Linked DNA regions of Neodiprion lecontei. The protein of the gene in region 1 interacts with the protein of each later gene in a pairwise test. Links are inferred from orthologs where the notes say so. Each region holds a gene or a part of one and is shown on either strand. Other genes may lie near its edges.

Region 1 (4,724 bases):
GTATGCATAACCCGCATGCGAGATGAATTCTAGTCATTAAAGCCGATACGATACGCGTCGTATTTGGAAGTTTCACGTGCTCTCGTCTTATCGCTTCATCGACAATATCAAAAGCGCCCCCATAAAACACATAGGGGTACCTCACCTCGCTTTCAATTTTGTGTAACTTTCTTCAATTCGTTCACTTGAACGGCTCCGAACTACCTGATGGAGGAGGACACTGTCGTCCTTTTCAGGACAGAGATCTTGTCCCAGGGACACCCTTATATTCCTCAAAATTATACACACCTTAATTCTTCACAAAATCAAGTCTGTGAATCGAGTAGTATCTAGTCTGCTTTTCCTGCAGAGCCAGACGCCCGAGCGGATGAAATCGTCACGATCGAATCAGTCCGGTGCTGGAATCGCCGTAGCGTTACGCGATAGCTACAGTATCTCTTTCGCACGTTTGCGACAAGGCCGAGAGACCGGATCAAGTTTCCATGAGACTCGCAGGACCAGCCTCGTCCCATGACAAACCCAAACTCTGGACGCAGAAGTCGAAATAGAGCAGAGTGCGCCTTGCCAAATTAATCGAACGATTCTTGCCAAGGAATAGATTTTTCCGTTTGAAAGCTTACTCGTGATTCAAAAGTTCTTTCTTTCAAACGGGAATCAATTTTTTCATCTTCTCAGATTACGTTTTTGTACCAGTGCTATCACGTTATCTACTCGAATCCCCAATTAAATTCAAAATGCAATAAAACGACCGGTTTATTCGACCGAGAATGAATGGTGGATCGGAAAGTTTGAGTCGAAAAGGTGATACCGTAGATAGGCACTACAAATAATTCCTGTTCCGATTATCCTCGGCGCAGAATTACACTGCGGGCAGAAATAGCTTATCCTGAGCAGTGCGGAGTTGAATTCACCCGTTGACGATTGCCAGAATCAGAGATTCTTAAAACCGGTTAAAGAATTGCAATTCATGCAGATTTCGTAGCGCTGATTCTCGGAGTCGTCGCTTCCTCCTGACAACACCGAAGTTGGTACATTAACGACAACCGCAATCAATGAGCCTAAAAATCTCGATCCGTGTACACTTCGCAGTTATCGTACCTCGGGACGTTAACCCCCGACAAACCCGTAAAGGGACGCGAAGACGCTCGACTCGAGGTTCTTCGCAAAGACGTGAATGGTATCGATCTTCGTCGAGACGAAGCACGACGCGTGGCACGCGACCTGCGGCGGTCCAAAGGCTTTCTTCTTATCGTCATCCCGGGGCGCTGCGGGGCCGGAGCTTGCGTCTCGATACCTACCCATACTCGGGACAGCTTATTCGGGCGAGTGTGGGTAGGAAGAAGAAGAAGACAGGCAGGCAGGCAGGCGGGCAACCGAACCAGGGAGTCTGGGTGGCACCTAGCCGCTACGCCACCTCCGAGGGGCAGCCGGGTGCGCCCAGGTAAGGGCAGCTGTTCACCAGGTGCGGTTCACCCCTGAACACCCCTGCGACAGGGTGGGGGAAGAGCCGTTTTCCGATTGGTCGGCGGCTCGCGCGCGCCTCGGCGATACCCCGGGAGCAGCGTCGAGGATCCTTCAGTTCGCTGCGAGCGCTCGAACAGAAAGCGAGTGTTCCGAGCTCCTCGTGCACGGTATCTCGCTGGGTGCGCGCCGCGGCCTCGTCCGCATAGTTTTTTTTTTTTTTTTCTTCTTCTCAACTCCTTCCTCGTCTTCGCCGTTGAGAACGTCGCGTAGGAAATTAATTCGGTAGTACTTGTTACAGCTGAGTTTGCATGAAACGCGCGTTTCCGTCGTTGAACTAGTTAAATTCTCGTAACGTTTTCGGTAAAGGAGACTCTGTCTCGATTTCGGGGGGAAAAAAAAATAAATTACCGCGATAGGACGGAAGAGAAGAAGAAGGAATTACCCGAGAGAAAAGAAACAACTCGTCTCTTTAATCTAGTCAAGATAATACCAACTACGTTACATACGCGTAATAAAACGGATATATATAACTATATACACATATATACTTGGAATTATATATTCGTCGGTCGAACTCGGTAATACCTGTAAACACGTACACAGTGGTAAAATATAAGGAAAAAGTGTCGAAAAATCTTACCGCGTGTTACGAGAGCGGTCACGCGAACGATACAAGAACGAAACTGGTGCCAACGAGATATATCGTAACTATAAAGTGCCGGGAGAGTTTATTCGTATGTATCCTCTTGTTTGGTGAAGCTACATACACACATATGTATACATGGTCTAACCAATATATGTATGTATACATGTATTGAATCGTATATTGATATATATATATATACATATATCGCACGCTGTTTCGACGTCGTCTCTTCGAGTTCTTCAAGTTAAAGACGGCTCCATTAATGGGGGTGTCCGGTGATTGCGCGGTGCGCTCCGCGAGCAGTAGGAGTCATCCCTGTCACTGCTGCAGTCACGCGGCCAGCGCGAACGCCAGTGCTTCGTCCCAACACCACCACAATCATCACCAACACCACCACCACGGACACAACAACAACAATAATAACAACAACAATAACAATAACAACAACAACAACAACAACAACAACCACAACAGCAAAACAACCGACAACCATCATCATCAGAACGGTGCCGATACCGTTGGCGTGTTGGCGCCCTTACGCAGCAAGATGAAAGTCCTCAAGAAGCTTAAACGAAAGATGGGTCTAGGTGAGCCGTGATATCATGATATATTTGAATTTAATCTACTCGAACGTCAGACGTATTGTCTATTATTAAGGTGTATAGTGATATAAGCGTTGCTCTGCAAATGATTCGGTTGTAGACGAAGAATCGTGAAAGGTTCGCCGGTTGGTCAGAGTTCAATTGATTACGAGGCTCATTTGGGAAGGATATTACTTTCGGAACTGTTACGCGTGCTCGGGTATTATGCCCTGAATGAAAGAATAGCAGAATAACATTTTTTTACACCGACAACCGAGTCATTTTGAACAAGTGGTATCGTTCATTTAGTCGAGTTTGCCGACGACCATTGTTAGACGGTAGTCAATTATCTGAAGTGGACATCGTTAGTCCGAACGCTCCCTAAATGTGATTGAATTTCTTTCGCGTTTCTTAAAAATTTCGTTTTCCGCCGATTATAAGTTGGCCAGGACTTTACGGTGGTCTGGAAATAATTATCATCGTGATATCCGATAGTTTGACAGAGAGGCTGTGGATTGATATCAGAATTGGCATGTATTGTCAACTCCCTGCATATCGTACGTAAGAATCATCGAGGTATTATAGCGTTTATAAGCCGATGAAAAAGGCCGAGGCTTGTTGTCCGGGTGGAATAAATTCTACCGGCAGTTGCTCGTTAACGCGATGCATAAGGTACTGAAACAGCAACTGCACTCTGCACCTGCCGTATTCGCATAATAAGAATATTGCAACGTCGCGCAAAGATCTCGGTGCATTCTTCGGCACGTGTGGACCTCAAGTTGCATTCTACGTACGACGATTATACCTTACTTGATTGATCGTTTTTGACGTTGAAAATTTTCACCAACGAGTAAAAGTATCTGGGCATCGCAATGGGATTTTTTCTGGGATTCATCACAATACCGCCTTATACGTTCGCTCGAAAAAACGAGAAGCGCGAAGTGCCGATAAGAGGAGAAAGATAAGGAGGAATTGGATTGTTCCATTTTTGCGGGACTCTCTTTGATACAACGGGCAACCGATGCGAAATAGGTCGCACTGATCAACCAACACACTATGCGACTTGTACCAGCTTAGCGCACGTATGTGAGATGGTTTGAGCCAGATGCAGAGAATGAGAATGAAAATGAAACCGCGTCGGTTGGAGCGGAGTCGAGATGCCTTTTTCCGGCGAGATATGGCCGTTGAATAGAAATAGGTCGATTCGGTCCCGCGGATTGTTCGTTGCGAAGGTTGTATAATACATCCACCCGCGAACAAAGCCCACCGTCAACGTTGCTCAGGGCTGACGTTTAAAGTCTGTCTTAACTTCAAATTCGCCGTTTTCGAGCGCGACAATTAGGATCTGGTGAAACACTGAAACGTCGAGTTGCACGAGTCCGGAGTGCGAAAAGATGAAAATTGGATTAATTGAGCCGCCCCTTCGTGATCTAACATGCCGCCTAGATCGTGATCTGGCTCGTCTCAGCCGTAGTTTTTTGCTGCCTTTTCTTGCTCCCCGGTTGGCTCGGAACTAGGCAGCTACACGGAGTTCGTTTTTGCTTTACTGTGCGTTTCGAGCCGAGGAACAAAGTTCTCAAACTCAATTACGTGCACCGGCTTAGACGGAGTTACTGGATCGGTGCTATTCTTCCAGAGAAGACGTATCGAATCCGCGCTCGGGACGCGTTTGCAGATATTCGTTGAGCTGCTCGAATTAATGGGTTTTCTGCGTACCTTCAGCGAAGCACATGTGTGCTTTAATGACTCCGAATCAGTGAGGATAATCATGTACCACGGTGGGTCGATATTGCTGCGAGGATAGGCTGCTCGGAGATGCTCCAGTGATATTCAACGGACGGTTTTCAGGACTTTACGAGTTCCATTGAGAGGAAATTGTCGCGATTCCAAAACGCCTCCCGGCGAAAGCTTAACGTCGGTTCCGAGCAAGGATATCGGGGCGAATAAGTTATCTCTAATAACAGCGTTTCGGATTTGTATGCTCCTGTTTTCCGGGGCCATACATCTCGCCCGGAGGCGAAGAGTCACGAGGC
Region 2 (4,100 bases), on another chromosome or scaffold:
AACTTTCAAATCAAGAATATATGATCTCATCGATCGATGTGTTATACTAAATACGACGACGAAGAGAATATTATTATCGTTTCTCACTATCGGTTTTAACGATCTTCGAACACATGTTAATAAATAATTCCCAACCAATGTATGACAATCGAAGAACATCCGGACGTGAAAAAATATCCCTCGTTACACCTGCTTTTTAATTTTTCAACGACGTTACGTTTCAAGGACCGAGTGTCTGGTAATTTAAAACGTTTGTCACGTTCTAATATCAAGTATAAAAATAAATAAATCGTTGAAAACCGTATCGATCGGCGGTAAAATGACAACCGCCTGAATCTCAGTGGTGAAGAAATAATCGATCCTTGAGATCGCAAGCGTTCGTAAAACCCAACCTAAAACTAACCTCGGGCAAACCTCGGAGGCTTGGACAGGTTCTTAAAAACTGTTTTTTTTTTCCCCGCAGGAGTCGGTCGGGTTGGGGACGCGGCCGTGACGTGGGATAATTTCAATAAAAAGATAATTACCGCTGAGTGAAAAAAAACTGTCGACCTTTTTTACGATCCTCGGCGTCGCGTCGCGGCAAAGAAAAGAGTATCGAAAACTAAGCGGCAGTGCATAATGTACCGAGCAATTCGCAAAAATAGTAATTTTCGAACAATAAAGTCTGCCAAATATTAAAATTTCCGTCCAAAACTTGCTCAAAGTCGTATCGGAGGCATGAATTGAGTAATTGAAGAGATCAGAGTTGGAATTGAGGAGAGCGGAACTTTTATAAAAGCGTATGAATGGTACAGTGGCCATAAATGGTGCATTCGCCTTATGTTAAACATGGAAAGTTTCGAAGATAAAAATTGTGGGCATCGGTAGATGGAGAAAGGTCGGTTTGACCCTCGGCCAAAGCGAAGGAAGAGGGCTTCTCCTTCTCCTCCTCATCCTCCTCCTCCTCCTTCTACTCTTCTTGCACAGCGAAGTGGTCCCTGACCTGCCTGAACCTTACTGGAACAGGGAGTGAAAAGAACTAAAATATCTCCGGAGGCTAATTACGAGAGGTTGGACCTAAGGCGCAAACCACCCGAGCGCATGACCGAGATTAATTATTCTCGAAGAGCTCTTCTCTGATGGTGCAGAGAGCGACAAGTCTGCTCGGGTCTGCCAAAGTGATCCGAGTACTGGCAACTTCACGGAATATGAAAGGCGGTCAAGCATGGGGCTTGAAGAAAACAACGCGGAACTGAACCGAGCGGGAATTCACTTGGGGATCAAGTCGATCACTTGGATTCATCGGTAACGTTGACATTCGAGTGATTGTACCAAGTCATTTCCATTGATCTTCACGGATTAGACAGAATCACAGGGACTCGTGACGAACCGTTGGAAATCACTCGTTACACTGGAAGAGTGAACGCAAGCACTTGACAAGGTAGAAGTCCATGTAAACTACTCAGCATCGATTAAGACCATTTATCGATCGCTGAACGACTTGCGCCGTTTGATTCCAAGCGATTGTCAGTGATTTCCACTAAGATCGAACGATTCTTCTTGGTTTCAAAGAACACGCGTAAAGTCAATTCGCAATGTAATTTCCAACGGTCGAAGGAACGTCCCCTCGAATCGTATCGAGAAAACACCCCAAAGAAAGTCCAGCCCTCGACCTGTTTCGACAGGTCTCTTTCTTCGGCCGTAGGGGGAAAGCGTGTCGAGACTCGCAGCAAGGGATCTTCCTCCACCATCTTCGTGTAAGCCATCAGCTCCCGGGTGAATTTTCTCCTGATTTAGTCGGGGGTGGGGCGAACGGGGTGGCGAGTCTCTGCCAGGGTGGACTTGAGCGAAGAACGCGGGGGGAGCCGAGGACGACGGCAGATGGTCGACGTGGACCCTGGGAAGCTCGGAACACGGAGAGTTCCCACAGCCAAGGCGCACCTGCCTCCCCCACCAGCTACCCCGTGACGTCACAGGGCTCTATATAACCGGCGGGGTGGCTGGACCAGAGCACATTCGCTGACAAGCCTCAGACGAGACGAGACTAGCTACGAAAATTCGGTATAACAAAAAAAAAAAAAAAAAACGCGCTGCGAATTAAAACGACATCGCAACTTTACGTACACAGTAGTAAACGCTCTGAAGTGTGACGGTATATAGAGACACGGTGTGCGAGAGTATACATATATATATCCAACAACAACAACGACGACAAAGAAAATGGCGGCAACAACGATCAACAGCCACGTGTTCGAGTGCGATAACGAGCTGAACGACAATCTGTACAACATCAAGTTGTCGACCAGCAATAAGCAGACCTCAAGTGCTCGACGAGTAAAGAAGATCCTGAAGCCGCTTTTGAGACTGCTCAAGAAGTCCGGAGGCGGTAAGAAGAGCGCCAAATCGCTCAAGGGACAGCAGAGGGCTCAGCCTCAGGTGGAGGTCTTCACCGAGGAGGTAGACAACCAGAACAATGCCAACGAGGCACTGGAACAGCGGCTTCTAGCCGGCCTGGAAGAAGCCGAGGAGGGAGCAGCCATCACCGTTTGCCTCGATGGTCAGATGACCGTCGTTCCCGTGGTACCCGGACAGTGTTACGTTCCCGTTCACTTCGCCCACACCCACGCCGGCGACTTCTACTGGACGACGATCTCCCTCGCCGACAGTGACCTCTGCTACAAGGAACGAGCCTTCTCCCAGAACCAGCAGCCCGAGATGCAGGTCGCCTAAGTGCGATGGGTTCCATGGGTTTAAGCTCCGGTTCAAGTTCCAGTTTCGCGGAAAGCTAAAAAAGGAGACTCATCCCGACCTCGACATTGATTAAAAACGAGGTGCAACCGGGATGCGGGAAGAAAGAAGAGAGAAGAGTAAAAACGAGAGAGAGAGAGAGAGAGAGAGAGAGAAAGAGAAAGACTTTATTTAGACGTAAGATAATTATTTCAAACTGTGATTAGTAGTTTAAACGATTATTGTTACGATTACTGTTCGTATTCGAGTTACTTGTTACTTGTATGTCTATCTGATATTTGCTCAATTGAAAGAGAGGAGAACCGTTTTGCGGGATTCGATTATTGGGCACGATCTCGTACAGCATGTTTTGCAAAACAACTGTCGAGATTTGTGATATACAAATTCCTTCAAAATTTGAATATTTTTTTTTTTTTCTTCATTTTTCATGGTACAACACACGTATACGGTTAAAGTATTCCTTTCATGCGATTAGTGCGATTATTTTTTGTATAATCTTGTTTCTGCATGACGACAATTTCATTCGCACCTGTGATATTCGTACCTAAACACTTGACTTTTAGAGTTATAATTATTTAGCTTTAAGTTTCACTATTGTTGTAATATTGTAACATGCGCGCACACACACACACACACACACACACACACACACACACACACACACACACACACACACACACACACACACACACACACACACGCACGCACGCACGCACGCACGCACGCACGCACGCACGCACGCACGCATATTGTGATATCGGCTTTAAAATCCTGTAGAAGGAATAATTCGATTGATCGACCATTCAGTCGCCACATTTTATAATTAAATCTAAATATTAAGATTATATTATATCAAATCATATCGTCTTCCAATTTTATCGTATTACAACCACAAGTGGAAAAAAAAAATAAATTATACTATTATTTTCTCAAAAAATATTATTTTTCTACTTATTTATTTACCATCCAAGTATCTTTTTTATAACATATACCCAATTTCCTTTGAAATAAATTGCCATTAGAAATTAATTATAGATTATAATTTCAAAAGTATATTTATAATAAAAGCGATAATTGAATTCAATTGACTAGTTAGTGATCTAAAAATCACTCAATCAATCATTCGTATATCACTATTTATAAAAAAAATTCCAACAGTGCAGTTCACCTGCAATTTTGAAGAAAAATTTATTCCCCCCGAGGTTTTTAAAATAGTTAAGTGACTAGCCTAGGCTGACCATATTTTACAAAGAATCTTCGGCCGTTGCGACGATTCTTTCACAATGTGGAACCGGTCGAAGAGTAGAAACGATAAAGAATAGAAGAAAACCTCGAGATCCTTTCAGCCCCTCGCTCGTATATTTGCTCAAGGT

The links.
Region 2: the proteins of protein neuralized (region 1) and enhancer of split malpha protein-like interact in a two-hybrid assay, tested with the Drosophila melanogaster proteins (2 studies listed by BioGRID). The link is inferred for Neodiprion lecontei from reciprocal best matches to the Drosophila melanogaster genes neur and Tom.

What each region holds. Positions count from the first base shown.
Region 1 is NC_060265.1:21,860,422-21,865,145, reverse strand, and holds the start of protein neuralized, read left to right. Parts: upstream 1-1,677; 5' UTR 1,678-2,372; coding exon 2,373-2,697; intron 2,698-4,724. UniProt on the Drosophila melanogaster protein: Involved in neurogenesis. Interacts with other neurogenic proteins in the specification of the neuroblast versus epidermoblast cell fate.
Region 2 is NC_060260.1:38,440,607-38,444,706, forward strand, and holds enhancer of split malpha protein-like, read left to right. Parts: upstream 1-2,021; 5' UTR 2,022-2,199; coding exon 2,200-2,709; 3' UTR 2,710-3,598; downstream 3,599-4,100.